3 linked regions of the Arabidopsis thaliana genome follow. The protein of the gene in region 2 interacts with the protein of the main gene of each other region in a pairwise test. Each region holds a gene or a part of one and is shown on either strand. Other genes may lie near its edges.

Region 1 (10,707 bases), on a different chromosome or scaffold from region 2:
ATCGCCCAGCACCCTGGTCTGGTCCATCCTCCTCCACTGTCGCCTGTCGGCCTTCATTACTCTTTAACTTACCCACACACATTCTTTTCACTTTTCAGTTTTGGGTCTGTTCTTGCAGTTATGATATATACGGCATGGTATATTTATCTTGTGACATTGCAAGTTGCTTTTCACACATTTTTTTCAATATTGATCCACATTCAAATGGGCTTATTTCTGATTTCCTAATGTCAATTTTCTTCTGTTTAGCCCTGCACTCTGTTCTTGTTTTTGTACCCGTTAAGGGGCTTTGAAACAACATGCTACTTTTTATTATGTGTAGAAATTTAGGAAAAACACAACATGAGATACGGATATATTGATGGCCAAAGAAAGTGAAGAGAATGCTTTATTAGTATAACAAACTATATAAACATATCACATATGTGATATGTATAACAAGTTACTATAATATGATTCAAATTCTGTTTAGAATATTTTCTTTCATAGATAAAGAAATTGTACCATTTACAATTATTTCACCTATTAACTCCTAAAGTTTATTCATTTGCATGTACGGTGATATACCTAAAGTAAAAGCAACCACAAGTAACTATAACTAACTAACGTTTAAGCCAGATTGTTTTTATAGAAACTCCTTCAAATCCAGGACTGGTCACGTCATTAATATGTAATTGTAAAAATGGTTTGGCAAATTGTGTGCCAAACAAACAAAGGAAGATGCAGAGATTGGGAAATAGACTTGTACGTGATTTGCAATTTTCTGTGTAATAATTGTCAGCAGGCCCGTGACCTTTATCTGCATTCCCCTTTGGCTTTCTTCTTCTCAGTTTCTCAACAATATATATTCACTATGACACACATGCATATTCATTTGATCCATCTTTACATGTTTTCAATAAATGTGTGTATACGTAACTGTTAGCAAGCTTTCTTTATGAGAATATATCTAAGAATTTTCGTTTCTTCTGGATCCACCTTCTCACTAATAACTCCATCTTAATTTGGACTTGAATCTCTAATGATCTCTTCAATATCTGACTCTCTCTTGTCTTACTGTCGCATCCTGGTTACATCACCGTTTGACCACAATTATATTCGATGAGTTCTATGTAACGCAAAATTCAAAATGACAGAAAAGACAAAATAATTAACCAAAAGGTCAAAAAACAAATAAGAAAGAAAAAAAGACTGAAAAATTGTCAATTTCATTGGAAAATACAAAACATTCCAAACTCAAGCATCAATAAATTCTCTTTACAACACTCACTTCCCTTCTCCAACCTTTAAACATTTCTCTCAAAATGGAGTCGTACACTTTATCCACCTCTTCCATCTCCTACGCCAAACCTCTTTCACCGCTCCTCCTCACGGCGGAGCAACCTTCCTTCATCCTCCGCAACATCACTCTCACCTCTCATCCTTCCCAAATCCTCGCCATTATTGGCCCTAGCGGCGCCGGAAAATCAACTCTCCTTGATATCCTTGCCGCAAGAACCTCCCCGACCTCAGGCTCAATACTTCTAAACTCCGTCCTTATTAACCCTTCTTCTTACCGTAAAATCTCCTCCTACGTTCCTCAACACGACACCTTCTTCCCTCTCCTCACCGTCTCCGAGACCTTCACTTTCTCCGCCTCTCTCTTGCTCCCAAAAAACCTATCAAAAGTCTCCAGTGTCGTTGCTTCTCTCCTCAAAGAACTAAACCTAACACATCTTGCACATACAAGACTAGGTCAAGGCTTGTCCGGTGGTGAACGCAGGAGGGTTTCAATTGGTCTAAGTCTTCTTCATGATCCGGAAGTACTACTCCTCGACGAACCCACCTCGGGTTTAGACAGTAAATCCGCTTTCGATGTCGTTCAAATTCTCAAATCTATTGCGACGTCCAGAGAAAGGATCGTGATCTTGTCCATACACCAACCTAGCTTCAAGATCCTGTCTCTCATCGATCGCGTGTTACTCCTTTCTAAAGGAACCATTGTATATCATGGAAGGCTTGACTTACTTGAAGCATTCTTGCTCTCCAAGGGATTCACGGTTCCTTCTCAGCTGAATTCTCTTGAGTACGCTATGGAGATACTTCAGAACATCCGTGATCCCTACGAAAACGCCAACATTGCTCTTCCAGACCACTGCCCTGAAAGTAAAAAACAGAACCAAAAACAGAGCATTGTTCGATATAAAAGCTCGAGAATCACCGAAATAAGCCTTCTCTCTAGCAGGTTTTGGAAGATCATATACCGTACAAGGCAGTTGCTTCTAACAAACATCTTAGAATCTCTTGTAGTCGGTCTTGTCTTAGGCACTATCTACCTTAATATCGGAACTGGCAAAGAAGGAATCAGGAAACGATTTGGCCTTTTCGCATTCACCCTCACATTCCTCCTCTCCTCCACTACCCAAACCCTTCCAATATTCATTGATGAACGACCTATTCTTCTCCGAGAAACCTCAAGCGGACTCTACAGACTCTCCTCTCACATTCTTGCAAACACTTTGGTTTTCTTGCCATACTTGCTACTCATCGCAATCATCTACTCTGTCTCACTCTATTTCCTTGTAGGACTCTGCTTTTCATGGCAAGCTCTCGCCTACTTTGTGCTCGTAATCTGGATCATTGTCCTAATGGCTAACTCTTTTGTACTTTTCTTGAGCTCTCTCGCACCTAACTACATTGCTGGAACATCTTCAGTGACCATTCTTCTTGCGGCTTTCTTCTTGTTCTCTGGTTACTTCATCTCTAAAGAGAGTCTTCCCAAGTACTGGCTCTTCATGTACTTCTTCTCAATGTACAAGTATGCGTTGGACGCACTTCTGATAAATGAGTACTCGTGTCTGCACAACAAGTGCCTGGTCTGGTTTGAGGAAGCTTCTGTGAATAGCTGCTTAGTTACTGGAGGTGACGTGTTAGACAAGAATGGGCTTCATGAGAGACAGAGGTGGTTTAATGTTTATATGTTGTTAGGGTTCTTCGTACTATATCGTGTTTTGTGTTTTCTTGTTTTGCTTAAAAGGGTTTCGGGTTCCAAAAGATAAATGCTTTTCAATTTCTTAAGCTTAATTTTATATATAAGGGATTTTCTTGTTTCTGTAGACTTCGTGGTATATACACAAAGAAGCAAATTAATTGATGGATGAACACAAAGAAGCAATTTATTGATGGATGAGTTAATGAAAGTATAAATTCCTTTATTTTTTTCGTTTTATACATTGTTCTATCATGTATTTAGTGTGTATATCCATGAGCTTCACATACATTCATAATGTCACTAGAAAACCAAGAGAACTATTTGATGTACTATCTAGCCTTCTATGATTGGGTTACGTGTGCAGGGAATATAGAGAATCTACTGGATTAAGAGATATTTGAGCCATGTTCGTGTATCTTCTAACTTGGCCAAAAAAAAGAGATCGTCACGGGTCTACATGGTCTTCACCTCCTCTGGAAAACCATATCAGTTTATACATTATTGTTCTAAATGTATGTACAAATATAAAATTAAAGGTTTATTTAAAAGTTCAGTTGTGATTTGGATTCATGATCTTGATTGTTTTATCATTTATGTTAGTGGCCGTGTCTTAAAGCGATGTTAATATTCATGATTTCATCTATTATTGTTGCAGATCCTAGACTTTACTTTGGGTACATCAATTTATACGTCTGCTTATCCAAAAACAAACAGCGAGCTACTTTTTTTTTTTGGTCAATAACAATGTAAAAAAAAATTGTTTTGGTTAAGAAGTAGGCATTCACGATGTTGACAAACAATAAAGTAGAAATCAATAAATAGTTGTGCTCAAGTTGACATACAAAATGCCACATCTCTTTTGTATTCATGGGTTCACGGACATGCAACTTCATTGGTCGCCCGTGAACATTTTTGTTTAGCAAGTAATTTTTGTCTCGACCAAGCTGGCTTCCTGACTCAGTTATAATCCAAATTCATTTTTTATTACTAACTTCAAAGGTTTACTCAAAAATTTAAAATTCATATGTATATCACGTTTTAATCTTGGAGTTTGGGAACTTGAATAGGATATATGTGTTGGGACGTCCGTCATTGGTATCCGGTTTCAAACTTGAGAAACAAGGAATACGTTTCTTGAGAAGCAAGGTTTACATTACCACCTAATCTACTTAACATACTCCATCAGCATGTCTTTAAGATTGTGTTCCTCAGCTTGAGTCACTGAATCAATATGCAAGCAGCTTTGTTCGCCCACTACAAAATTGGTTCTGACCGTGATGTACGGCTGGAGAAAGCAACATGAGTTGTTGGGACCAAATACTTGTGTCTCCAAAAAACATTGACGTCTACATTATTTTATGACAAACTTGTCCGTTGACTTCACTAGGTGGCGAGTGAAGGAGTAAGATTGGATTGAGTAAAAATTTAAGCCTAGCATGAAATCTAGCGCCGAAACCTTAATGAGTGAAGATCATATAGATACACAAATCCTAGAATGTGACTGTAATTGAATGATTCACTTACCAAACTACAAGATTTTAAATAAAATCTCAATTCTCAAATTCATAATTTCCAACTATGGTGTTTTAGTGGTTGCAAATTAATCTGTTAGTCCAAGAACAAGAATTTGAATCATCCTACTATGATTTAATTCATTGTTGGTCATTATTATGTGAATTTTTTTTCTAGGTCAGCCTATGATTCTCCCGTTAACAGAAGAAAATTCACTATGGGACTCCGAAATCTAATATGGAACCGGTTAACCATCTAACCGGACCATGTAAAGGCCAGCTTTGTAGCAAATAATTATTAGATTATCAGCCCAATAAAAGCCCAAATCCGTAATATATAATCTAATCGTCTTTTATCCGCAGAAAACCCTATTGCTCCCCTTTGCTCAAGCTCAGTGCCTCTTTGCAGCGAAAGCTCAACCAACAAGACGATGGTATACACATACTCTGCTTCTACTCTGTTTCTCTAAATTTACATATTTACTGAATGTAATGGAAGGAATTATCCGAGTATTAATTGTGATCTTGTTCGTCCTTTTATCAGATTATCTCAGAGAACAATCGCAGAGAGATCTGCAAATACCTTTTCAAAGGTTTGTGAGTCATGCTCTCTTTCATTTCCTTCTATTTTCAGCTAGTGGAACCAGGTTTAAGCTAGTTACATTTCTCTAGGGATCTTCGAATCTAAGCTTGTAGTGAGAAACAATTGCATTGAAATGTGAAAAGATTTATGCTTGCTTTCAGCTCCTTTTAGGCCTACGATTTTAGATATGAACTTGTTTATAAAGTAGTATTGTAAGGTTCAGAGTAATTGGAATGCTGGATCTAACAATGTTTGTTCATAAGTTATAATTCTTGAAGAGTATGATAGATTGGTATATAACTGTTGAGGGATTTATTATCTAGTACTGTACTCAGTTGTCTAGAGAAAGAATTTGTGTGGATACTAAATGATCATATCTTACTGGGTTTCGTAGAGGGAGTATGCTTTGCTAAGAAGGATTTCAATCTCCCAAAGCATCCGTTGATTGATGTACCAAACCTGCAAGTGATTAAGCTCATGCAGAGTTTCAAGTCCAAGGAGTACGTTAGGGAGACATTTGCGTGGATGCATTATTATTGGTTTCTGACTAATGAAGGAATTGAGTTCTTGAGAACTTATCTTAACCTTCCTTCCGATGTTGTCCCTGCTACTTTGAAGAAGTCTGCTAAGCCCGGTGGTCGTCCCTTTGGTGGCCCACCTGGTGATCGCCAAAGGTAGTTTCATCTTTAAATCCCTTGACCTGTCCGGTCTGAGGGATTGGCTAATTTCTGATATTGTTTTGGCTTTTGTTTTCAGAGGACCACCTCGCTCTGATGGAGACCGTCCCAGATTTGGTGACCGTGATGGATACCGTGGAGGCCCACGTGGTGGTGATGAGAAGGGTGGAGCTCCAGCTGATTTCCAGCCGTCTTTCCAAGTAAATCTTCGACTTACTAATCACTCCTAGTTTACTGAGCCTATATGCCTTCCACTTACTAATCACTCCTAGTTAACTGTGCCAATATGCTTCGTTTAAAGTCTTTTAGCTAGTTGATGAAGAGATTGTCTAACAGCGTGTTGTATGTTGGCAGGGAGGTGGTGGTAGGCCTGGTTTTGGCCGTGGTGCAGGCGGTTACAGTGCAGCAGCACCATCTGGTTCAGGGTTCCCTTGAAAAATTTGTTGTCATATTGCGACGATGGAAGGACAGTTTTGTTTTTTGTTCTAGTTCTGTTTGTGTAATGCAAATCTGGAATCTATAATCTATCTATTACCTTCACCTTGGTTTAAACGAACAAATCCTGTAGTTTCAGGATTAGTGTCAAAATTCATGTTTCTTACTCTATCTGTCATGGAATTAGGTTTGCCTTTTTAAGAACAAGAAGAGGGAGACCAAATCTGTCTTCTTTAGTAATCTAGTGTGGTAAAATATTGAAGTGGAAATGTGTATTAGAGAATTCGTCTTAACTTCTACAAAAGACAAAAGGGATTCAATGCTAAATTGGAATTTGATCCAATTTCTTTCTAGTCTAATCTTTGAACAATATCCTTACAAGAAATTTTTTATCGGACATAGCGCAACTCTTTCTTTAACGTTGAACAATAAATCCAACTTCGTCTAGATGTTAGTGTTCCAAGAACAATCCACTTGATACCTCAATTTCGTCTGTGTTGCTTCCAATACAACATCTTGTTTCTTAGATTGTTGACAAAAAAGTTGAGCTTCTTTCTAAACATATTAAAGGGCCGTTTAAGAAGCCCATCAGAAAGAGGTTAAAGGGCCTGTCCAAAATAGAAATTTGAAATCCTCTCTGTGAGACGAAGGGTTTACACTAAGGCGGAATAAACCCTAAACCCTAGCTGAGTAGCTTCTTCCTCCCCAATTGCTATTTCTCTGCCTCCGTGTGCTGAGAACCAGAACGAAACCCTAGCAAAATATCGCCATGGGTAAGGTCAAAGGAAAGCATCGTTTGGATAAGTACTATCGTCTCGCTAAGGAACGTGGATTCCGTTCTCGAGCTTCCTACAAGCTTCTTCAGCTCGACGCCAAGTACTCTCTTCTCCACTCAGCTCATGCCGTTCTCGATCTCTGCGCCGCCCCTGGTGGTTGGATGCAAGTCGCCGTCGAGAAAGTTCCCGTCGGCAGCCTCGTTCTCGGTATCGATCTTGTCCCGATTCTCCCTGTTCGTGGCTGTGTTACTATGACGCAAGATATCACAAGGACTGAGTGTAAATCGAAGATCAAGCAAGTGATGGAGCAGCATGGTGTTAGTGCTTTTAATTTGGTTCTGCACGATGGGTCTCCAAATGTTGGTGGTGCGTGGGCACAAGAGGCTATGAGCCAGAACGCTTTGGTTATTGATTCTGTTAGATTAGCCACTGAGTTCTTAGCTCGCAACGGGAATTTAGTCACCAAGGTCTGCTTCTGAAATAAACTTACTTTCCGATTGTTTTATTTTGAATTTGTTCTGTCTTTGATCTTGTGCCATCAGTGATGTGACTTTTCTGAAATTTTGGTTTATGTGTGTTTCTGCTCTTAGGTTTTCAGGTCTCGAGACTACAACTCTGTGCTCTACTGTCTTGGGAGGGTACTGTTTGTTTATAACTCTGATTTTTTCTTTTTTCTTTTTCATTTAGATGTGTGTTCCCGAGCCTTTTTTCTTATTGGCATTTTTATTGGTTCAGCTGTTTGAAAAAGTTGAAGTGTTTAAGCCGCCGGCTAGTCGTTCAGCATCTGCAGAAACATATCTTGTGGGTTTGAAATACTTAGCCCCTGCCAAGATTGATCCCCGTCTTCTTGATTATAGACATCTCTTTAAGGAGTCAGCAGAACCCACGAGAAAGGTAATCACTATGGCTTATTTGGTGTTTGGAGTTGTTTTTACAACTCTCCCATTGTCCCTAAAGTTTTGTGTGTAATACTACTTGTGTTTGCAGGTGGTGGATGTGCTTGGAGGATCAAAACAAAAGAGAAACCGTGATGGGTAGGCAAAATCCGCCATCTGTTTTTTCTTCGTTATAGATGAACTTTTTATAACCGAGTGTAATTTACAGGTATGAAGATGGGGAGTCCATTTTGAGAAGAGTTGCATCTGCTGCTGATTTCATTTGGTCTGAAAATCCTCTTGACGTTCTTGGCACGACTACTTCCATATCATTTGATGATCAAGCCTCTCTACCTTTAAAGGAACATGATTTGACGACAGAGGAGGTACTGTTTCTAATTTTCCATACCTTTGCTAATCAAGTATTTATGTCCTTCTCTACGCCATGGTAACGTTTTATTTTTCTGTTGGTAGATTAAAATTCTATGCGATGATCTTCCTGTCTTGGGGAAGAATGACTTCAAGCATATCCTAAAGTAAGAACAGTATTATTGACTCCTTCATGGATCTTTTTAATCTTTATGTCTCACTTGTTAATTTCTAAGCTTTTCCAAGGATGTGGTAGAGCTTTGACTAAAATGAATTCAGCTATTGTAGAATTAGTTAGCTGTAAATTGGTTCGGTAAAGAACGGTTTCCTTAGCACTTCAAGTTTTTACCTATGCTGTTTTGAGTGCTCAACCCGATAAAGCACTGTGTGAAATGGGTAAACGGGTGTCCATGGGTGTTAGGAATTGGCGTGTGGGAAACTACTGGTTTTGTTAAGACTTTAGCATTTGTCGTCATCCATCTATGCGTCTAGAAATTATATTAGTTGCTTAATGGTCATTGAACTCTCTATTTTGTAGATGGCGAATGCAAATCAGGAAAGCTCTGACTCCTGAGAAAAAGGAAGTTGCTAAACCTGAGCCTGATGTGGGAAAGGAAGATGAGGAAAATGAAGATGATAAACTACTCAATGAATTGGAAGAGCTGACAAACACAGTTGACCGCAAGAAGAAACAGGCAAAGAAGATTCTTGCAAAACGAAGGGCTAAGGTTATTTTTAACCTTATGATAATAACCTATCAAGTCTTTATGTCTTAGTCAGTGGCCTTAGTGATGGATCCCTTAGACTTTATACTTCCTTCACTAAATTCAATATCTTTTGCCAGGACAAGGCGCGGAAGGCGACTGGTCCACAGATGGATGTACTTGAAGATGGTTTCGTCGACAATGAATTGTTCTCTCTTAATGCTATCAAGGTACTTCATTTTTGATACCATCTCTGCGGAATTTTGTTTATTATGATGGCATTCGAAGAAGTGTTTATTACTCTTTCATTGGTTGAAGAGCATTCTCCTTTCACCCTGCTATCAGTTCTTACAATTCAATTGTTTGAACATATCATTATATTCTGAATGAGATTGTAAAGATTTTCATTTATTTTCTTTACAGGGAAAGAAAGATCTAATGGCAGTTGACAATGATGAAGATGATAATGGCAATGCCGTTGACAGTGAGAACGAAGACCATGGCGAAGGAGCTTCAGATGACTCCAAAGACAGTGACAGAGATTCTGATGAAGAACGTCAGAAGTACGACCGCTAAACCTATACCTTTTTGTAGATTATAGAGTGCTGTTACAAGAACGTCGTATATTTCTGAAGTTTGTGGAGTTACTTCATCTTAATAGTCTTTTTAACATTACAGATACACTGAACAAATGGAAGAGATTTTTGAGCAGGCATATGAGCGGTATATGGTGAAGAAAGAAGGAAGCGCAAAGCAAAGGAAGCGGGCTAGGCAGGCCCATGCTGAAAAGCTGGAGGTACTATCATTTTCTTACCCCAATTTCTTAGGATAGAACAGATTTTTGGAACTAAACACTTTTTTCTTTTTGGCTTTGCAGGAAGGTGATGGAGATGAAGAAATGAAGATCGATTACGATTCAGATATGAATGAAGAAAAGGATGAGGCAAACCCTCTTGTTGTACCACTTGATGATGGAGTGGTCCAAACAAAGGAGGAAATATCCAACCAGTGGTTCAGTCAGAATATATTTGCAGAAGCCGTGGAAGAAGGAGACTTGGGAAAAGATGACAGTGAAGACGAAATAGCAAATAAGAAAAAGAGCAAAAATCTGTCTAAACCAGACAAGTCAAAGCAGAAGGCTTCAAAAGCAAGTGTGTTGTCTGATCAGAGCTTGCCCAATAGCTCCAAGAAGGAAGATGAGTTTGAGGTAGTCCCTGCACCAGCCACAGATTCTGACTCAGATTCATCCTCTGAAGATGATGTTCATACCAAGGCCGAGATACTGGCATGTGCCAAAAAAATGCTGAGGAAGAAGCAGAGAGAACAGATGCTTGATGATGCATATAACAAACACATGTTTGTAGATGAAGGTTTACCAAAATGGTTTGTGGATGACGAGAAGCAGCACAGACAACCAATGAAACCTGTTACGAAAGATGAAGTTAATGCAATGAAAGCACAGTTCAAAGAGATCAATGCTCGTCCAGCCAAGAAGGTGGCAGAGGCCAAGGCACGGAAGAAGCGAGCTGCCCAGAAAAGATTGGAGAAAGTGAGGAAGAAGGCAAACACAATATCTGACACAGCAGATATATCAGACCGTTCAAAGGACAAGATGATAGACAAGCTATACAAGAAAGCAGCAGAGCCAAGAAAGCCAAGGAAAGAACTGGTTGTGTCTAAGAAAGGAGTTGGGGTTAAAGTTGGTAAGGGACAGAAGAGAGTGGATAGGAGGATGAAGAGTGATGATAGGAAACGTGGGGGAGGAAAGCCCGGTAGGAACGGGCAGAAGGGCACTGGTAAAGCAGG
Region 2 (11,268 bases):
TGAGTAAAAACTGCAATAAGTAGGGAGACTTTTATAGAAACATTAACTCTTTCCAAATCATTACATTAGTTGCAGATTCCATTTTAATTACTAGGGAGTACTTTACAAGAGATTTTTTGTGATTCGTGAGGAATAAGTGACTAAAAAAAGGTGGATGTGATTATTAAGGTCATATAATATTGTTTTCATATGTGGAGATTGATTTTGAGTTTACATATACCAAAAATTTTAGCCATGCATGTTAGTCTATCACCCACTCTCATAATTCTCAAACAACTATGTCTGCAAGTTGCCGAGCAAGTGTTGCAGACTGCAATTGTTTAGGATTTCATAAGTTATTTAATTGCAAATTCTTAACCAATTAGTGTTCTTAAGCTTGTGCTTGAAACTTATCATTTATGATTTATGTAACGTTTTCTATATTTCTTGGTTTATTTTTTGTTTGCTTTTGATGTTTTATGTTTCTTGTATTTTTGAACTATGGGTCGTTTAAAGGAAAAAACACTTATGTGAGATTTTAAGTAGTAATTTAAAAGAAGAAAAAAAATTAATCTCGAATAGGGCCCTCAAAAATGTTGGACCGGCACTGGATACACGAACAGAGTAATAAAGCTTTTGTAGTTCAACACACGAGTAATAAAATTAAGTCTTCTTACGTTAATTTAATAGTTTCCCTAACAGGAATATAATTTAGTAACAAAGAAAGGAATGTAACTAAAATAGAAAACAGAGCATCAAAATAAAACAAATGTGGAAAGACTCCTTTTCCCTCCCTCTAACCTACGCCGTCGCCGGATACGTCTGTCTCTCTCTACATGCTCACATTCGAGTTACATTTATGGATTAACCTACCATATCGTCCTTAATACCACCTTTATATAACTCATTATGAATTAGTAGTACCTTTTTTTTTACTATATAACTTCATTATAGAAGAAACTGATTTGAGATTCTTAAGATCTAGCTAATAGAAAGGTTTTTTTGTCTAATGTTATTTTCTATATAGAATTTATATACCGTCTTTTAACAACCAACTTTATTCTTTAGTCGCATCTTTATGAGTTTTTTTATTATTATACGAATTTTATAGCGACGAAAAAAGTTACTAACAGTAGGAAAATTTCACATAAAATTCTAGATATTTAGGAAAATAAAGTATTGTTAAGAACTTTGGGGAAAATCTGAAAACACAACCATGATCATCAATTAGATATTTCACCTTTTGGATCTTTGTGACATGAATATGCATAGTCGTGCCAATTACTAATTAGAGATACAATACAAACTATACAAGCATAAGTTTGAAAAAGCTTTATCCAGAAACTCAATAATACTATATGATATATGTGCACGGTTTTATTGGTCCCCCGGCCCCAAATATGCAACTTTTCGCCCATATTTATGAAGGCTTCGTCTGTCCCAGTATCCTCAAAACCTTTCACATTTATTGCCATCCACTGTACGGACGTCTTATAAATGTAATAACACTAATCTCCATAACCTCATACTCGCATCATATTATCACTATAAGCTGGACCAAACTTATTCATTAGCCAAAAGATAATTCATAAATATACTTACATCACTTAACATTACAAAATTTATACTCTACGAAGCAGACTACTCGCTTAACATTATTGTATATAGGCTATGATTGCTACCCCAAAACGAATGATGAAATGATTATTACATTTTGTAAGATCTATCAATCATATAATGATACGGAAAATATAGGGATTAATTTATAGTATTAAGTCAAGCTTCACATTTTGATCATTTAATGATTTGGAAAAAAAAAAAAAAAGTGGTAGAAATTAAAGAAGCAAAATTTGGAGGAAGAAAAGATAGCTTGTGAAGGGAAATGAGTGAGAGGTCGTTCTCTGGTGGAGCAGGTCGGTGCTGCCATTGTCCTTTCCTCTTCGTCCTTCATTTATTGTTTCTCCACCTTCTCCTTCTTCTTCCTCTTCTTCTTTCCTTTTTTTTTTTTATTGCAATTTTTCTTATAAGTTAGTGATGGAGGGTGACTTAATTAGAGTTTGTATCTAGTCGAATTCCAAAAAAAAAAAACAGTAAAAATTGGTGGGTCAATCCACTTGTGTTCTGAAATTTTTTAAACTAAAATATCTATTTCGATGTGTAATATATATTTTTGCAGTTTAACTTTAACATTTATAATTGATATTACTCATTGTTTTTGGTATTTTCTCTACAGGTAAACTTTATTTTTGTTGTCATTTTTCTAAAATAAAATATTGTAAAAGCTTTTTAAAATGGACTTTGATACAGACATTTTAAATACAAACAGACAAAGACGAGCAAGAGAATAGGGGACCCTCTTTGTCATTTGATTGACATATACAGGTATATACTATAAAAGAAATGTGACAAACAGTCATCTATATTCATTTTAGTGATTTTTGTTTCACCTAATCTCTTAAAGTTTAAGTGTCACATTATACTGTATATTACTAGCCCTGTAATTCTGAAACAAATTGGACTATTATTTTATACACTAGTTCTGTTTACACAGACCAGTACCGTTTCTGCTCCTTAACTGGATTAACTTTAATTTTTACTATATCAATAAATAACTGAAATAGTGCATGTTACTGAAATGACGTACGAGTACAAAAGATTTCCAAATTATTATACCAGATACACATATTCTGCCAAGTTTAATGATATTATTATCGCAGACAGATTAGTTTTAAAGGATGAAAAAAAATATACTTTGACAGGGGCCAATAATATTGTTTTGTGACGCAGGTGAACAGCACTATAATATATATAGCAGACCGATGGTATCACTTGGGCAATAATTAAACTGAAATAGAAAAAAATAACAATTTTGAAAAGGATAAAAAAAGAGAGTCACAGAAATATTATCAGAGCTATAAAGATTATAGATCCCCTGACGAAAAATAATTTAGATTGTAAATAGTACAGAAACTATATATAATAAGCATTTAATAATGGATAGGCTTAGGTAAGCCTATGCAAGTACAGCAGGTTTTGAATTATTGGATGAAACATTTGTTTCAAATATTAGATTTTAATTTTTATAAATCTATTTGTGTAATACTTATATATATATATATATTTAAAAATGAATATTATAGGGTTGTGTAGGGGTTAGGGTAAAAGAATGACTTGGGAGATTTAACATAAGATCGTGTGGGCAGTTAATATTTAGTGAGATAGATAGATAGTGTAGTACGTTTGCATTTATTATCTTTTTACCTGATTCTTTTGTATCATTCTACACACACGTGCCACCGCCGACACCTGCTATCTTTCTACTGTTTCATTTTAATTTTTATCTTACATTTTTGTCAAACATTTAATATCGACAATATGAATTAAAAGTTTTTGTTTCCAATTATTTTTCTCACAATAATTTTTTAAATAGTTGTGTTGAGACACTTGACGAAACTCATGCTTTATGTATTGTTGGTTTACTATAAACCGAACATGTTTGCTTCGTTTTTTTTTTTTTTGAAAAAATGATAGTAAAAATATGTGTCAAAACCGAAACACAAACAACCTTATATTCCATTTTTTATTATGAGGAAGAGTATAGAATCAACCGAACCAACAAAAGAAACAAAGTGTAATACACAGAATTGAGTTAACCGTTGGAGAAAGTGGTTAAAGGAAAAATAAGGAAACGATCGAAAGGAATTGGTATATATCTGAGGGGAGAATGTGTATAAAATAAAAGAAAAAAAGGTCTGACTCATGAATGTATAATGATATGCTTACACCCGCACGCATAAACCTCTGCCATCTTTTTACTGCACACTCTTTTCCTTTTCTCTTCTTTAAAGTCAATTTTATTTGCTGATAACCACAAAATGTAGCAATTTTAGATTACATTATTTGTTTCACATTTCTTGAAATCTGAAAACTTTTAACTGCGACTGCAATTGTTTTGGTTGAGAAATCGATCGACTTGGAGTATGAGATTACCTTCTTATCAGTGTCTTTAGTATAACGGTTGCATTGCATATATATTTCCTCTCAAACTTTAATGATATCAGTTCAACTAGTCTGGATCAAATGTAATATTGATACTTTCCTTGAAAACACATTATTTGGTGCGTGGGAAGAATGATCTTAAAGAGATGATAAAGGGCACTAGAGTTTTGGTTTTCTTTGTAAAATAGTGTATTTATGCAAAACTCAACATTATATGGATGTTTGCATTATGGTATTTTTCAACTAATATACACCCAAAACAGTATCCTTATTAAACAGCTCTCTCTCTCGTTTTGTTCAAACTAACAAGAGAAAAATGTCAGCTTTTGTTGAAAAATAGATAAAAATTATGACATAAAACCCAAAACCAAAACGTCAACACCATTTATCATAAATTACATTTGTAGTTAGCTAAAGTACAAAAACAACACTGTAAATGATCCATTGACCAATCGAGTAGTCATTAACGAAAGATCACAACTTAACATCACCCAGTCTAATCAAAACTCCAAGACCATAAGAATTTTGCTAAAGCAGCAGTATAGTGATAAACACACAAAACGGGAAAAGTTGTTTTACAATTTAGAATGTCATATACTTTAATTATTATTTGCATAGGGAAAAATAGAAAGAGACTCACTCCCCAGGTGAGGGCAAATAGAAGCCCCTGCTCCCTGAATTTCACAGCCTTTATCATCAATGCTCCTCTAACCTCAAACACTCAAAATCCACACATCTATACACATACCTCTACATACACACTCCATTTTCTCTCTCTATCTCTATTATATCTTCGATTTATGTGCCATTTTGGTATATAAATATATAATCTTGCACACAATAAGGTTATACTTCCCATCACCTTTTGTATCATTGCTATCTTTGTTCTTCCTTCTGGTGTCTCTTCAGTGTAACAAAAAGTCTCTTTTTCAGTTATATTAAGTAAAAGATGATGCTTGCGGTGGAAGATGTGTTAAGCGAACTCGCCGGAGAAGAAAGGAACGAGAGAGGATTGCCACCTGGCTTCCGGTTTCACCCGACGGACGAAGAGCTCATTACCTTCTACTTAGCTTCCAAAATCTTCCATGGTGGTCTCTCCGGCATTCACATTTCCGAAGTTGATCTCAACCGCTGTGAACCTTGGGAGCTACCAGGTAATATATTATACATTTTGTCTCTTCTTTACCTCATAAGTTTTATTTTGGAATCTTGTTTTTAGTTGAATATTTTGATAAATCTTTTAACAAGAAAAAAGTGTAACGTTTTGAAATTGTTGTTATATGAAGAAATGGCGAAGATGGGAGAGAGAGAGTGGTACTTTTATAGTCTAAGGGACAGGAAATATCCGACAGGTTTGAGGACTAACAGAGCAACTACTGCTGGATACTGGAAAGCTACCGGCAAAGATAAGGAAGTCTTCTCCGGCGGAGGAGGACAGCTTGTTGGGATGAAGAAGACGTTGGTGTTCTACAAAGGTAGGGCTCCACGTGGCCTCAAGACTAAGTGGGTCATGCATGAGTATCGCCTCGAAAACGACCATTCACACCGCCACACGTGTAAGGTAAATTAACACTCTTTTACTCTCACTCGTGCGTCTCACTCTCACTCGTGCATCTCTTTCTTTAAAAAAATTTGTATTTTTTCTCTTGTCAATTTATGAGTTGACTTTTTGAAACCAAAAATTTTATACTACTAGTGTGTGAAACTAGTAATTTAAACCCTGTTACTTTTATTCCCACACGTCCATTTCTTATAACATTAAATTCTTTTTAACTTTGCGAATGTAATAGAAATTTGATGTTTTTGTTCTCCATTAATGTGTTAACTTTTTAAATCCACAAGTTGAAAAGAAAGGTTTAACGAAATATTTAACTTTTTTTTTCCCATTTCATGTGTTTTGTTTCAATAGTATTGTCACTATGTTGTTTGGCTTAGTATGGGGAGGACAGGGGAGAGAGCAGTTTAGATGTGATAGATTTGATATAAACCTGTACGTGTGGTGTGGATGTCAACACCAAACACACCTTGCCGTTTTCTGTTCACCGATACACTGTTGTGTCGTTTTCCATCACTATTGCTTTCTTTTGTATCCCACCTTTCTAATTACATTTATCATTATCAGAAATCAATTTGTCAGGCTCACATTTCAAACAAGATCTTAAGGTGTAGGCATTATATAATGTGTAATAACATGTTTTGGTTTTTCATTTCTTTTTGGTGGAAATTCACAGGAGGAATGGGTGATTTGCAGAGTGTTCAATAAAACAGGAGACAGAAAAAATGTTGGATTAATCCATAACCAAATCAGCTACCTTCATAACCATTCACTCTCAACAACACATCATCATCATCATGAAGCCTTACCTTTGCTTATAGAACCTTCCAACAAAACCCTAACCAACTTCCCATCACTACTCTACGATGATCCACACCAAAACTACAATAATAACAACTTCCTTCATGGATCATCAGGCCACAACATCGACGAGCTCAAAGCCTTAATCAACCCTGTCGTCTCTCAGCTCAACGGTATCATCTTTCCTTCAGGGAACAACAACAACGACGAAGACGACTTCGACTTTAACCTCGGCGTGAAAACAGAGCAGTCTTCGAACGGTAACGAAATTGACGTACGAGATTACTTGGAGAACCCTCTGTTTCAGGAAGCGAGTTATGGTCTGTTGGGTTTTTCGTCTTCTCCTGGACCTCTTCACATGCTACTAGATTCTCCATGTCCTTTAGGATTCCAGCTGTAGAATCTTGGCCCTTGGATTTTATATTTGGTCTTTTCTTATTTTCACCTTCTGTAAAATACAAATTATATAAATTATTATTCCTAAGATCCAAAATCTTTTGTCGAACAAATTTCTTAAAAGTTATGTGGCTGATTGCTGTAGCCTTGCAGGTAAAAGCTATTATTGTGTTACAACTTTTGATGAACTGTATTTTGTGGGCGTTTCACTATTCGATGTGATCTCATAAATACCAATAATATTTGCAACTATTCTGACGTCATTCTTGTTTATTTATTCTTTTTTGCTTTTGATAGACTATCCCTCATATTCATTTTTTTTTGTTTCTTGTTTTGAAGATTTTTTTTTTTTGTATGAATTGTGTTCATAATTTTGGGACTGCAAAAATGACATTTTCTGTTACAATGCTAAATTGGACCGGTTAAGCGGGCTACAATGTCTTTGTCAGTTTGGTTTACCTGCTTTAGCAAGTTTGGTCATAGTTTCGGACTATGAAGCCCATCACCAGCGAGGCCCAGAAGTTGACTTTAACTAAATATTAAACACCAGCGAGGCCCGCTGATAAAATAATATATAACGAATTATGAAAACTAATTTAAGTTTGAAAATAGATGGTAAACGCCTAAACGAGTAACAATTGTTATGTGGTCTTATTCTTGATATATGAATGATCGATAAATCAAGATTTTCAGCTTTAAAATATAATATAAATTCATGATGCATTCACATATAAATTCCCTAACATAAAATACTTAGTTTATTAGATATGTAGTCTTATTCAAGCGTGAAAGTTCTAAAAGAAATTGGTTTCTGCTCGTCAAATTTGAATTTGAACATTACGTTGCCTTCAGATATTGTCAACCGATGATGATTTTTATTTAACTGTAACACCACTACCTAGGTAATAAAGCATTCATGGAAAAAAAAAAACTAATGTGTGGCTTACTTTTTTTTTTTTTTTTTTTTGTCAATAACTAATGTGTAGCTTACTAATAATGCAAAAACAGGAATGTGGGAATCTTCGGCCAGATTGGGAATTTTGGTCTCATCATTTTTCTATGAGAATTTATAGTTCTTCCTTTTAACAAACAAAAAGCATGCCTTCACTTTCGACTTCCTACTCTTTATTTGTGATTCTACAGAAATAAATATCCATTACTATAATAATATGATAAGAGAGCCACGCAATATAATGCTATCATCTATCCATGATCCATGGAGATAAAAGCCAAGAGATATATAATAGATCATGCTCATGCATCACACGTACAATTTACAACTAACCATATGTAATAGTACTTTTAAAATAAACATAAATAGCTCAATTTTTTTTTTTTTTGAAGAACAGTAATGCTTGGACATTCAACCTCTTTGGGTTAATGGTTATAGCTTGCTTTTAGCTCGATAATTTTTTTTTTTTTTTTTTTTTTGTTGGAGCATTAGCTCGATAATTTATTTGTTGGAGCATTAGTGAATTACTACCATTACGAGCTATATCATCAAAACTATAGTCGTTAGATGAAAATTAAGATGGATATTTTTGTGGTAGATCTATATTCAATGTCAATTATGCAATCTAATGGAGAACATGGACGCACTTTCCATAGTGGAGAAACTCGTGATGAATGATGATATCTCGCGGTGGTGGACCATCACTATTCATATGTGTTATACTCAATGGTTAGACGGCGAAAGAGAAATAATCCATAATCAGTTATTTTTTCGTATGCGTGATTATCTACATCTTGGCTAATTATTATTAAACTACGTTCAAGTTGTCGTATCTCGCACTTTAGTTGTATTCTTTAAGATTTTGGCGATCTTTTGTTAGGTCATTGTTCGAAGACAAAATAAGCTCATCTTCATGGTCATTTTCGAAGTTCTAATAATTTAAAGTCGTGTCTGATGATTTAGTGGGATACAGTCTCGTGTTCCCAATATTTAAATACTTTTAACATAAAACATGAACAAATTAAATATACAAAACCCGACAATTAGTTTGCTGCTTTATTAATGGAAAAGGGAAAAAGAAATCTCACACAAAACACATTACACCATCTGTTCTACGTATACTGGTCCATCTGTCTACTTTTCCCATTAATTATGGAATATTCCATTAGTTAAATCGAATTTGTAGCAACGAACAACCAACATTTTAGGTAGACTAGAGTCCCTTGATGGTTTTTGTCAAAGAATATACTATGTATTTTTATTTATTTCTTTGACAAAACCATCTAAGGCAAATTTTTACTCCGGATAATTAGGATTGTAGTTACGTATAAATGGTGTGGTCCAACGTCTTAGTTTCAAGTTCTGGTAACTATTTCTTGGTCTCTAGCTATATAAAGTTTACATAATACATTGACAAAAACAAATAAAGGGTTAAATGACATAAAGTTTCCATTCCATGATAGATTTACAATAGATAATTAAATATATACATGACAGAGTAACATTATCCTTTAAAATGATAAAGAACACTTTTTAATTAATATTATATCTTTGTTTAATCGAATTCCCTTTATAAAAAATAAAATGGGATATGTCTAAAGAAAAGAATCAAGGCAAGTTATCAGGACCATCTTCACGTTGTTTGATTCGGGTATCGGGTTCGGGTCCTGAACTTGAGCTACCGGGTAACCCGCCACATTTATGACACCTGGTAACCACCAAGATTTGACGGCAAGAAGGACAAGAAGAGTGTGATCCAAGCCACGTGTCGATACACGATACGTGGAAACCATGTCCACACTGCGGCAACACCCTAAGCTCGTCTCCGGCGGCGAATTCCGTTAAACAGATAGCACACTCCACGAGTTTCTCCGCCGGCGGAGAATCCGGCGAGTAGGTGAGTTTCGGTAACGACCGGAGGACTTTCTTTTTCAATCCTTTGTTGGCTGCAGCTACCGGCGGTGGATGAGTTTGATCCGATCTGTTTCTTGAGGCGATACGGCGGAGCCAAGCGCATCGAGAGACGGCTATTAAGCCGATGATACATGTCAGTGCACAAAGAAGAACCGCAAGGATGAGGACGAGGTCGGAGTTGAAAGGCGGAGAAGCTTCAGCCGGAGATGTAGAATTGGCTTCTTGGAGAAGACGGAAGAGAAGGCGCGCCATTGTTAAAGACTTAGAGAAAGAGAAAGAGAGAGTGGTTTGAAAAATGGGAGGGATTAGGAGTGTGAGCGTTTTTTGGGGAGGCAAAGAGGAAAGGGATTTATAGTGAGTGAGATCTTCGTCTTGGGTATTTTTGCTTTATATTATAAAGTTTATTGTATCACTTTCAGTTATAAGGATGTTTTCGTAAAATTTCAATTGTTATTAGTTCGAAATCGGTTGCATTTAGTTAATGACTGAAAACTCGAAAGCTAGCTCATGTAAACTCTATGAGTCCTTTTCTTCGATATTTTGTATCTTAACGTTCTCAAGTTTTTACGGATGGGTCGGCAAGAAAGAAAGGTTATTACTATAAGATAAATGCGTAGATAAGAATATGACTGTTTTAATAACACCATATATATATAAATATAAATATATATATAGAGAATAATATATATGGTGTTTCTATAGTTAGATAGTTTATCTCATTTTTTCCAAATTATGAGATGTCTTTAGTTTACCTAACATCTTTATACCTGAAAATTAATCATTCGTTATAATTAAGAAAATGGTCTGATTTTTATTTTGGACAATCGATACTAGATTGAAAATCTGGTCAAAATCAAACGTTCTAATCTACTTGTTAATTTGTTTAGATGGGATATTAATAGTTTTGGTGGACTGAAAACATTAAAATTTGACGGATGTAATGAAATGGTGCGTGTGGGGGCATAGACATGATGGAAGTGGAAGAAGCGTGTGTGCGCGATGCGACCATTGAACATGCACCAAACCACGATATAAATTGATAACGTGTATCGCTTATCCTTTTTTTGTGTGTATATATCGCTTACCCTAACATTCATTCTTCTCGTATAAATTGTCCTAACTTTTTATTATTTGTCAGTTGGTCATGCACAGCAGCAACTAATCAGGCGGAATCTACTATTTTAATTAGTAGCTAGCTATTCCAAATACTGTATTGGGTTGTTAATTTATTCGAATATTTTAAGTGTTTGCCTCAGTTGATGATTATACACATGTTCAAAGAAACTTAATGACGTTTTGAACTAGTGGAGAAATGTGATTCTCTCTACTCTACGTACTGACCTTTGAAATCACGAAAAGAACATTTTAACTCAGTGGCTGCTGGACAAAATATATAATTGGAATACACAATTTAAATTTTTTTAAAAATGTTATGTTAGGACTTGGGACAAGATACAAAAAATCTAAATAACACCCATTCTTTATATTTATAGTGTAGGACATAGATGATTTACGTACGTTTTGTGAACTATTGAACTCGTCGCAACTTAAAAGTACTAAAACATAGTTATAACTTACAAAAGGTTATGAGTCAAATTAAAATGCTCAGAATGTAGCCATGTAGGTTATAAAAACGAATGCTTGATTTGAAATCCTTATAAAAAAAAAATCT
Region 3 (11,029 bases), on a different chromosome or scaffold from region 2:
ATTTTTCTTAATTGTAAAATGATAAAAGCAAATTTTCATTTTTATTAATTAATGATATATATATATATATGTTTAACTTTTAGTATAATGTTTACAGAATTTTTTTTTTAAAACTAGGTTCAACCCACTAACGTAACAAAATAAATATTAAATTTATGATTCGTAAGGTTAGGGTGTTACTTTTTTCAAAAAAAAAGAATAAAAGAAGGTTAGGGTGTTTATTCGTGAAAGATGAAAGTAACAAAAGTAAACTAGGATATCGAAGTTTATGGTTGAATTAGGAGGAAAAATCAAATGAGAGAGACATACATTTTTTTTAGAGTAAAATGTTTCCTAAAAAATTGTAGTGGGAATATAATTATAGCATCAAGCTAAAAAGAGTCATTGAAAAACTTTTTCTACTTTGATGCAGGGAACATGAGATGTAATCAAGGGCATATCTAAAACGTAACCTTTGATCTTTGATCTTTGATCTTTTTTTTTTTTTTTTTTTTTTTTGAAATTCAGGAGGTTCTGGGCCGAAGCCCGTAATTCCTCCAGGCCCGAAACCACAGCATGTAATATTAGTTTTTCTTTTAAAGTGTTGTGATGCGAAAATTTCATATTTGAGTCCAGGTTTTTAAGAGCTTGGGTTTTCCATTAGTCCATGTTATGCCACAAATATTCAAAGATTTTTTCTTACAAGCAATACTCAAATATCAAAACTAAGTTTCTATCAAAAAACTAAACAAAACATCAGCCAGGTAAAATCAGGAAAAAATAAAGAATTATCAACAAATACCATGACTACAATAACCAAACTGCTTTCCATTATTGTTTTTGTCAAGCAAATTGTATTCAACATTGAATTTCAAAACAGAGAAGATCATACGGTGTAGAATTAAAAACAAGATTGAAACGATACATTATAAATAACGACAAAGGCTTGAAAATTTATCAGATAGGAAGTTCCGACGAACCTAAATGAAAGTCTCCATGACAGACTCCATATTGAAGACTAATTTCAAAAGATTAAAGAGAAACTCATGATAATAATAGCTCGTACAGCTAGTGCTTCTTCCATCGAAGTAGAGCTTTCAAGAAATCACTCCAAAAAGGAGTTGTATAGGAAGGATCTCTCCAAAACATTCCAAAGCAATACAATAGGAGAAGCTTTTACCCTTTTTGGGTCGTGAAGGACCATGCTTTGTGCTCTGTTCTCACAACATTGAGAACTTTGTAGTAGAGCGAAGCTGGAAAAGAGTTGTGGCGTTGTGGATGCATGTGGTACTCTTATGCCAAACCTCGTAAACACACGCATGACATGCTTGAAGCAGTGCAATGGAGATGTCATTGCTTGTAGAAGTTGTTGATGACAGGCGGATGGTGCTGGAATCATTCAATAGGTAGGGTTGTAGGCAACAACTTTACCATAATTTTGTTTCAGATTTGAGCTGAAAATGAATAATTTAAGTGCAAGTGGTGAATTCCTAGATTCTCCCTCAATGCCACATTAAAGCAAGTTTGTTCAACATGACATCTCAAAAAAAATCCTATCAATAGTAGGGTTGAGGTTAAAAATAAAGAGTTATAAACTGCGAAAGCATGTTTAGGAATTCTCACCTTATGCCATACCAAAACCAACTAAAGAACTAATGGTTTAGATATTCTGATGTTATGCCAAGCATTTAGGGAGGAGAATAATTCGGAATCATTTCATCAATTATCCAAACTATCATTCATTGTAGGAGTAACTAGAATTCTTCAGTTCATTAATGGGAAATTAATAATAATTTTTAATTTATTGTGTCAAATAACTAACTTTCTGTAAAATATTAAAAAAGAAGGAAAAATGAGAGATTTTCCAAACACTTCAAAAATCACTTTTGATTTAATAAAAAATTTTCTGTCTCTTAAAATAAAAGCTCTATGTTCTCTATAAAAAAGCTTTCTCCGCCGCTGCCTAAGATTACTTGTTTCAGTGGCTTTTTTCAGCATCGGAAGCGAGGTTTCTTTACTTTCTTTCTTTAGTTTTGATTTCTTTTTGTTTTGGTATGATCTGAATCATATTTTCTTCCAATGGTTTAAGATCTAAATTCTCATATCTAGATCAATAAAGTCTAAATCCTTTCATCTACGGGATTTGCTGCTTGTTTTTTACTCCTTCATCTACAGCTTTAGTTCTGGTCGTTCCAACCATGCCAGAGGTAGATCTATTCGATTCTTCAACGCCTTAGATGCATACTTCTCACCATTGAAGATCTCGATCTCCTTCCTTTCTTTATGAGATTTTTTTCCTTTGGGTCTTCGGGTGTTGGTTTGTCTCACCGCCGTTTACGGTAAGAAGAATATTGATTTTATTTTCTTTGAATGGATCTCTAATCTCAGATCTATATTTTGTTTTAATTTGGATTTAGAATTTGTATTAGATTTTTGAGTTCTTAAGTGATAAGTTTGGGAAGTTTTGGATCAGTTTTAATATGTTTTTTTTATTCTGGAATTTTTCCTTTTTGTATATGTATTTGTCTCTAGAAAATCCGTTTTCTCGCCGGCTTAACTTCTGAACTGGTTATTTTTCTTACCCGGCATATGTATTTTACCCCTTATGATATTTTTTATAAATGAAATCTTAATTTTTACTGAAAAAAAAGAAACAGAGAGATTTTCCAAAAAGGAAAGAAAATTTTTATGCTTCTAGTGGTGAAGGGCACATTAGCATGAAGAGGATGGACTGAATTTGAAAGACCCATGAATATGCACATGCTCTTGTTCCCTACGCCTCTCATGGGTCCTGAATTTAATAACGTATTCCCACGTAACTAGGAAAGAAAAAAGAAACTTAAAACCATGAATATTTGTTTTGTAGTTTTAAAATTGGTTTTGTAATGAAGATTTTAGTTCGTTTCAAAATCTTTTTGGAAACCATTTTAGTCAAAAAATATACCAACAGTTTTCTTAGTTTTCTTAAGAAATTGTTATGTGAAATGTTTTTAGATACATCAAAAATAGTTACAAATTTCAAATATAATCTGTAAAGCCAATAAATGAGAAAATAAAGAGGAAAAGAATAATAAAGTAGGAAAAGTGGAGATAAATTATTTAACGTAAATTTACCTATCATAAATTATATATAGTATTAGCATTTTAAATTTTAAATAGCAAAAATACGAACTCTATAGATTTACTATCACAATTACATATTAAAAAATGATTTCTACTAATTAAGAGATGAAAACAAAAACACAGACTAATTTCAAAAAAAAAAAAAAAGACATATTTAAAGTTATTTTTTTCGTAAACAATTATATTTTCCTATATACTTCCAATATTTTAAATTAAAAACACATGATCATAACAATACCAAAAAAAAAAAATCAATGCATATTGTCCTCTTTTTTTTTTGTTCATGATCTGTTCTTGAACTTCTCCATTGCTCTTGGAGCTGAAAAAAAAACACGAGCATTATTGGAAAAACAGAAAAGAGCCACTTATAGAAACGAACAGAAAAGAAAACTTACCAAGTCCAATTGCTTCGGATCCTTTCATTATGCGCAAACGTTTGCATGACTCGACAAACATCCTGAAATCGGGATTTGGGTTGGTGACTAAATTTAGAAATCTATTGAAAGTGAAAGAATATGTGCCAGCTACAAATGAGGTAACATATTGATGAGTTAGTATTTATATATAAACATCTTCTCTGTCTCTGAGTTCTGTCCCATGCCAACCAAAAGATGGCTGTGCGTGTTTATAACACATGGATATTGATTATCATTTTGTGTATTTTTTTGATAAGTAATATCAATAATAATGCTTTAGAGAATATTGTTTTTTTTGTTTAGAGAATAATTTTGGTCATAATAATGAAAGCAAGAAGAATGAGGAAACTCACGGCCAGGGGACATCACCAACGAGCATCCAGTCACCATCTTTGTCCTCGTAGCTTGGAACATACTCAGAACTGTTCAACAGATCCATCACTTTACTCTCGTTCATGAAATCTATCATCCCTTGTGCTCCATAACTCCCTTAATTAATCAAAATCCCAAAACTTATCATATTAATTAGTCGTATATGGAAAAAACTGTATCGTTAAAAAGAAAAAATTGTAAGTAAACACAAAAATAATAATGATAATTCGACTTATATGTCTGAAAATGCATACCCATGGTAAAGGAGCTGAACATTTTGGCCAAGGCATCAGAGAGATCCTTGTAGCTGGTGTACATCTTGAGGTCAACCTTCCGAAGATAAGGAGCTCCATCCATGGAAACCTTCACAAAGGCGACGGTTCCTCCACCACTACTCATTGCCTCCTCTGCTTCGCCGCTCTTCTGATTAGCCATAACATTTTTCCGGTAGTTCCTCACCGGTGGCCAACCCACCACTTGTGCTCTGCATAGAATATAACAACACACACACACATTCAATAACGTTATTACTTATGCATCCTTACATCTTTCATATATATGTATTTTAAGAACTTTTATATCAACTATTAGTCTTTTTATCTCAAAAAAAAAAAAAAAAAGTCTTCCCTTTTAAGGAAGGTCTTCTTCTTAAGGAATTGTGTAAATAGAACTTACTTAGCAGGAGGCTTAGAAGGGTCTTTAAGGAAGGTCTTCTCCTTGGGAGCTCCATTAGTGTTGAGATCCACATGTCCTTGTTTGTTAGATTGAAGATTAAGTTTGAGATCAACGGTCTCGGAGAAGCCTCTCTTGTTCCCAACACCCGACTTGGCCGGACTTTCAACGGTTTCAGTGCCTCCGGGGAGGCCAAGACAAAGCTCCGTCTCCTTAAGGTTCATATCTCTTCTTGCTGTCTATATATGTCTTAAATCAGAATATGTTTTCTCTCTCTCTCGATAACTCTTGTTGGGGGTGAAGTTTGATAAGAGGGGAACAAGAATGAGGTAAGGAGATAGAGTCGATAATATAAGGGACGAAGAAAGAGACTATAGTACTATACTATAGTGGTAGAAAAAAAACGGTTTAAACCCGTGATTAGTCGTCTGACTTTTCTAATTCTTTAACTATTAAAATACAAAGGTCTATTGTGTATCTGCTGTAGTGCATGGAATCCCTACATTTTCTTGCAATGTGGGTTCTCAACACGTGGCCTTCTGCTAAACGTTGGTAGGTTGTTTTAGTAAATCTCACTCTTTCATGTCAATAACCTGAAAAGTATAGGTGATGAGTGATGACCGTTGATTGTTGAATGATATTGTTACATCTCTTAGGTTTTGAAAATACGAACATACGTTTGCCCAAAATATGTTAAGTAAATAAAAATGAAAATATATTAAGATTCCGAGTAAATAAAAATGATATTATAAAAACATGAGTACCTCTTTCAACATGTCTAAGTAATGTCTTTATTGATCACTTCTATGATTAATGTACTTTTTTAATTGCCTACCAATTTGTTAGACGTTGCCTCCATTGGTCAACTCTTCACGTATCACATCACATGTATACAGAAATTGGGCGGTAAAAATTCCGTGAATCGTATTTGGTCAACATTATTATATGATTTAATCATATAATTATATTTCTTAAAACTTTCGAAGTCAGCATCGGTGAAAATAGTTATGACCAACTAAGTTTGATCCTAATTAAGACGTACAACAAATAATCAATGATAACAATCTTAGTATATATTTTACTTCAATTTGGACCATCTTCTCTCAACATTGTCCTGAAATTCCGGGAAATGATGGGGCAATTTTAGGAAAATGGGCTTGTTCAGTTGTCCATTAAATCATTATTAAAGAGCATAATCAAATTAAAATAAGCTTGTCTTCCGAACCTTCCAATCATGTGGTTCAAGTATAACCACACATGAACGTATAATTTGTTCGACGGAAAGTGCGGCTTTGTGACTATATTTATTAGCATGCTCAATTACATTTTCTTTGTTTAGACGTATTATAATCAAATTTCTTATCATTGATTTTAGTTAATCATTGGATATCAAAAATAATAAGAATATAATGAGCCGTTCAAAACTTAAATAAGCTAAAAGTGCACATGGATTTTACTTGCGATCTCTATATAAACTATACCACCCATTGTTTTGTGGTTATGGGATAATATCCTTTGGAAATCTTTGGAAATAAAATGACTATTATTTTAGATACAATAAAATATTCCAATGATACATAATCCTTTTAATTAATAACACCATAATGAATACTTTACTTAAAAAGTTAAAATATCCAGCAAAAGTTGATATTCAAATCTGATGAAAATATTAAAAGTTACAATCTAACTGAGTATTAGTAAATCAAGATCATGTAAATTTAATATTATCGACATATACAGTCATTTATATTTATTTTTATTAGTATTCAAATAATTATTATAAAACTATTTGGTTGATAATATATCGTTAAATTTGATCATATTACAAATAAACATTTCTTTTATGTCAATAACATTACTTACTGAGTGTTAATAGCTCAATTGTTAAAGACTATAAGACAAAACCTAGAAATCACCAGTTGTAATGACATTTGGAAAGAAACCATATAAAATGCTCTAGTTTGAGAGGACGTATGTTCCTAGGCCTAAACTTTTTAGTAATAAAAATAAAATAAAAAGCAACATCACTTATGCGGAAGCCTATCATATATAAACAACATTAATTAGCACAAACCATTAGTAAAACAGATGCACTACATTCATGATGGACTATTTTAGCATTAGCTTCCGAGTTCCGAGAGCCCAACGAATAATTCTACTTGCACTACATTGGAGATTTCTGGTAAACTTGTTTCTACTTATCTACGTAATTTGCCGTTTCTACTTTCTAGGAGCATAGAAAAATTAAATAAATGTTTTGCCCAAGAAGTAGTCTAATTATTTTCAGATTGGTGGTGCACTGTCGAACAAAGACACATTGCTTGTTCCTTTTTTTGGTTTTCTTGATAGCAAGAACAATCTAATAACCCAAACAATACTAATTTTTGAAATCCTTGAAAGATCGGATTTTATTAACATTTAATGCATAGAATATGACTGAAAAACACGAACAGTAGATATTTATTGATGGGTAACTCGATCTCCGACCTATATCCACAAGAAAACACATCTTCCCTAGTCAAAGTACTATTCAATTGAATCCGGTGAAGATAGTGAGACAAGTCACATCCAATTGGGGAAGCAATAAACATACCAAACCCTCAAAGGCTATGTTTTTGCCTTGTCAACATCCCTCACTCCCCCAATAACCCATTGTTTCTATGACTCCCACCATTCAAATTCTCATTCATTTTTATCTTTTTAATTATTGTTCTCTTTTAGATTTTCAATAACGTTTCTAAACCAATATAATACATATTCATAAAATGAAAATACCTTTTCCTATCTCGCAGCATCTTTCATACTCATCATCTTATTCGTTGTCCATCTTCCCAACCACAAATTCTTCTCTGCATAAACACCTTTCATTAGATGCAACAACATATGCACTTGTCCCTCGAATTAATTTTCTCATCAAATCCTTTTGTTTTCTTCTTAACTGGTTAATTAATGCGTACGATCAATTATCTTCATGCACATATGATTAGGGTTTTGAATCTTATCTATTTCAAGTTCTACAACATGAAGCGTAAATATGGTGAACTTCTATAGTTTGTGGATACTATTGATTTTTGGTAGATGTAAAGAGTGGATATTGTTTGACTACGTGGATCTATTTTTCATTATGCATTATAGATGGTAGGCTCCCGCAGTTCCGCTTGACTTTTAGCCATAAACTCATTTACTCGTTCTAGTGGTAGTGGAGAGGCATATCGTATTTAATTGATATCGTATTATACAAATTTAAAAATGTTTACCTTATTGTTTTACCTACGGATGTCTACGTAAATGTAATCCCTACAATTTTTTTATGTGACCCACCTATGTTTTTAGTTCCAAAAAAGGTAAAGGTGTGGAATTTGGACAGTCGAAGTATAGTATATCCAAAAGTTTTGTCAACGATACTATCCAAAACTCGAATTATTTGTTTCTTTTTTCATATCATCTTTTTTTTATGGCAAATAATTCGAGTTTTGGATCTAAATGTGAGAAAAGTTTTGTGATAATTCAATCATAATTTTTACACGAGAAAAGTTTTCAAGGCACATTGTTTTATACTTATCTAAATTATGTGACCCAACGATACTACTAGACAAGACGAGACAGGTCCAAACAAAGTAGTGACTGATTGGTAGAAGGAGATTTATGAGATGGTCCGGGTTATAATGTTAAGCCATTTTCAAGAAGTTATACGTGTTGGTTCTTATGATATGTAAATCTATTGTGGTCTCTCCTGTGACCACAACAGATTGCATTTGACCACGTGATTTTCTATTTAGCAATCAATTCACGATTGGTATACACAACCCTTATATATATTCCAAACAAAATAATTAATTCTTACATCTATCAAAACTATATTTAAAACGAAAGTCAGACTAATTTCAACATTATAACCATCATGGTTAATCTAAACGAAAGTTAAGAGTAATTTCAACATTACAACCATCATATGGTTCATACTTTTTTTTTTTTTTGAACAACATATGGTTCATACTTTAAATGACCATATTGTTGACGAAGTGAAGTTGATTCTAGGTCTGGACTAACAAACAAACTGATATGTTCATAGATGGAGAACGTATACGACCCAAATTTATTTATTACTTGTAATAACATATTAATAGTGTAAGATATGTGAACACCTTGATAGTCTAGTGCTTGAGTGAATTTGATTTGAAACTTTTTATGTAATTTTTCTGGCACGTGGTATCTTTTTCTTTTAACATCTTTGGATCAACATTGTCCGATATATGGTCTATTTTTACTACGCGAGGTAACGAGATTTAGTAGAATCGAATTCTGATAGAAACGGTGGAATCAGATGGACTTAACTACTTGATTAAAGACACATCCCTCACACGTGACAAACCAAAAAAAATGTTGGACATTTGGATAGTCATGCCAATGGAATGTACTGTACTTGTTCATAGTTGTAAATAACACCAAAAATCAACTGAACTAAGGAAAGAGACTTTAAACATCTTCCCAAGAAACGAAAACTCGAACACATATTCACAAAATGTTCTGTTACCAAAATTACTTCTCATCTGAGAAAAAATAATCTAACATAAAGAATAATTAATTATGAACATACAAGAATATGACAACTGAATAAATATATGATTCCGATTTAGCTACGCATTCGTAAACTAAAATTTTGATTACGATTCTTTATACCTTAGCAGAGATCAATTATTTGTTTCAAAGGTTTTGTTTTTTAAAACAATAGCTGATTATCGACGTAACTACAACTTTTGAATTTGTTTTTATCAATATATACTCTGTCACGTTATGTAGTTGTACTCAAGCAGTTGGTTATTTGTTGTTTAGCAAATGATTCAGTTTGAATCATCTGTTACAATAATATACATAGAACATCAACAATAGTACTGTTCTTGTAAGTGAAGCAAAGTCCCGATTTAGGACCACTTTTTAAGTTTCTTGGATCTAAATGTGTGAATAGCGACATCGCATTAATGTATTACATGAAAGTTTATGGTTTTGATCTGATATTAAGATATATATTTATATGATTCAATAATTCCTTACAAAGTCAAATTTTATTTTTATATCCCAGTGGTTAAATTTATATTACTTGATGATAAGTGTAAAGTTGGAGTATAAAGGATAATAATGCAGATCAACTTATAAACAAGGTCCTACATACATGCATAGATCACAAACCATAGACATAAATAAGAGAATCTGGCACTGATAGTACGATACATAATGTTGGTGGAACCAGAGACATAGTACTAGGACCATGGTAGGAGCTGACCATAGATAGGCATCTTCCTCTGCTTAAAAATGTTTCAACGTATTATATAAATTCTTAAGATAAAGTTTCATATGTTTGACCAAAAAAAAGAAAGATAAAGTTTCATATATCTTTTTGTGACCGTGAAGAAAAAAACATAAATAAAGAAGTCATCCGAGAAGAAAAAAAATCATATAGACCTTTTTTTCACTAAGCCTAAATTTGTAAGTAGTTATAGGATTTAGTTTGACGACCGACGGAAAGCATGGGAGAAAAAGAGATGCACAAGCATCCTCTTAATTTTTGTATGAAATTAAAAGTAAAAATAAATAAATATAAATATATATATATATATATATTATATTCCCTTTTAAAATTCAGTTTTTACTATACAATTATACTGTAAAATAAATCTTGGAATTTTCCTAAAAGTGACGAATACTTGTGATTTTAATAGCTCAAAATGGTAATTTTGTACCGATGTAGAATATGATATATAATTTTGATAATTATCAATCACAAAAATGTTATTAAAAACGTTATTAAAATGTTTACTCTCAGTTTTTCGGTATAGTTTTTATGTACCACTCTTTCTTACAATTTTACATTACTTCATAAAAGTTTACCATTCCAGTTTACAACTAAAAAAATTATACAGATTTGTATTATTAGTCAGACCCAATATTGGATTATAAGATAGGAGGAGTACTTTGATAGTTTGATTAGACATAAAAATACCCTCTAAAGAAAAATATTGGACTCGTGATCAAGTTTGTAGCCTAATGCTCCTATAGTCACATTGCTTCCCATGGGTGACCGGCGATGGATGTAGTAGTGTGGATGCTTATGATTTTTTTTATAAGAACATAATCGACACAAAATATGTATTTGAAATACAGACACATTAGAAGAAGAAAATAAAATTAAAAAGAAACCCCTTTGCACAAAAGAGAAGAAAAGAAAAAGATTAACCCCTAAGGCAGATCCAACAAATGTTGAGTTTGAGTATATGTATCGGCTTAAAGATTTACGTCGATAATTCTAAGCTGTCCAAAATTCATATGGCCCTTTATAAAATTATTATGGCGCGGCCCATCGCGAAACTCATATCTAAGTAAGATAGGAATTCAAGGGCAATTCAAAAAATTATGGAAGGTCTTTTTGTTTTTGTTTACGTCTATTTTTTTATTGTTTTTAAACACAACCA

What was found.
Region 1: the proteins of CUC3 (region 2) and AT4G25740 interact in binary tests that used the Arabidopsis thaliana proteins (3 or more experiments, as listed by UniProt).
Region 3: the proteins of CUC3 (region 2) and IAA14 interact in a two-hybrid assay, tested with the Arabidopsis thaliana proteins (one study listed by BioGRID).

The regions. Positions count from the first base shown.
Region 1 is NC_003075.7:13,102,958-13,113,664, reverse strand, and holds AT4G25740 (RNA binding Plectin/S10 domain-containing protein), read left to right. Parts: upstream 1-4,837; 5' UTR 4,838-4,913; coding exon 4,914-4,916; intron 4,917-5,026; coding exon 5,027-5,075; intron 5,076-5,459; coding exon 5,460-5,739; intron 5,740-5,821; coding exon 5,822-5,942; intron 5,943-6,096; coding exon 6,097-6,177; 3' UTR 6,178-6,529; downstream 6,530-10,707. Other genes in the region: ABCG4 (ABC-2 type transporter family protein), read left to right, coding at 1,305-3,038; AT4G25730 (FtsJ-like methyltransferase family protein), read left to right, coding at 6,947-7,420, 7,544-7,591, 7,689-7,847, 7,941-7,987, 8,058-8,214, 8,303-8,364, 8,736-8,925, 9,042-9,131 and 3 more.
Region 2 is NC_003070.9:28,667,495-28,678,762, reverse strand, and holds CUC3 (NAC (No Apical Meristem) domain transcriptional regulator superfamily protein), read left to right. Parts: upstream 1-4,717; 5' UTR 4,718-4,927; coding exon 4,928-5,132; intron 5,133-5,264; coding exon 5,265-5,539; intron 5,540-6,209; coding exon 6,210-6,734; 3' UTR 6,735-6,957; downstream 6,958-11,268. Other genes in the region: ATL8 (RING/U-box superfamily protein), read right to left, coding at 9,291-9,848. UniProt on the Arabidopsis thaliana protein: Transcription activator. Involved in molecular mechanisms regulating shoot apical meristem (SAM) formation during embryogenesis and organ separation. Required for axillary meristem initiation and separation of the meristem from the main stem.
Region 3 is NC_003075.7:8,345,138-8,356,166, forward strand, and holds IAA14 (indole-3-acetic acid inducible 14), read right to left. Parts: upstream 5,127-11,029; 5' UTR 4,787-5,126; coding exon 4,566-4,786; intron 4,375-4,565; coding exon 4,145-4,374; coding exon of another isoform or gene 4,044-4,144; intron 4,008-4,043; coding exon 3,872-4,007; coding exon of another isoform or gene 3,868-3,871; intron 3,560-3,867; coding exon 3,442-3,559; downstream 1-3,441. Other genes in the region: NF-YB3 (nuclear factor Y, subunit B3), read left to right, coding at 1-11. UniProt on the Arabidopsis thaliana protein: Aux/IAA proteins are short-lived transcriptional factors that function as repressors of early auxin response genes at low auxin concentrations.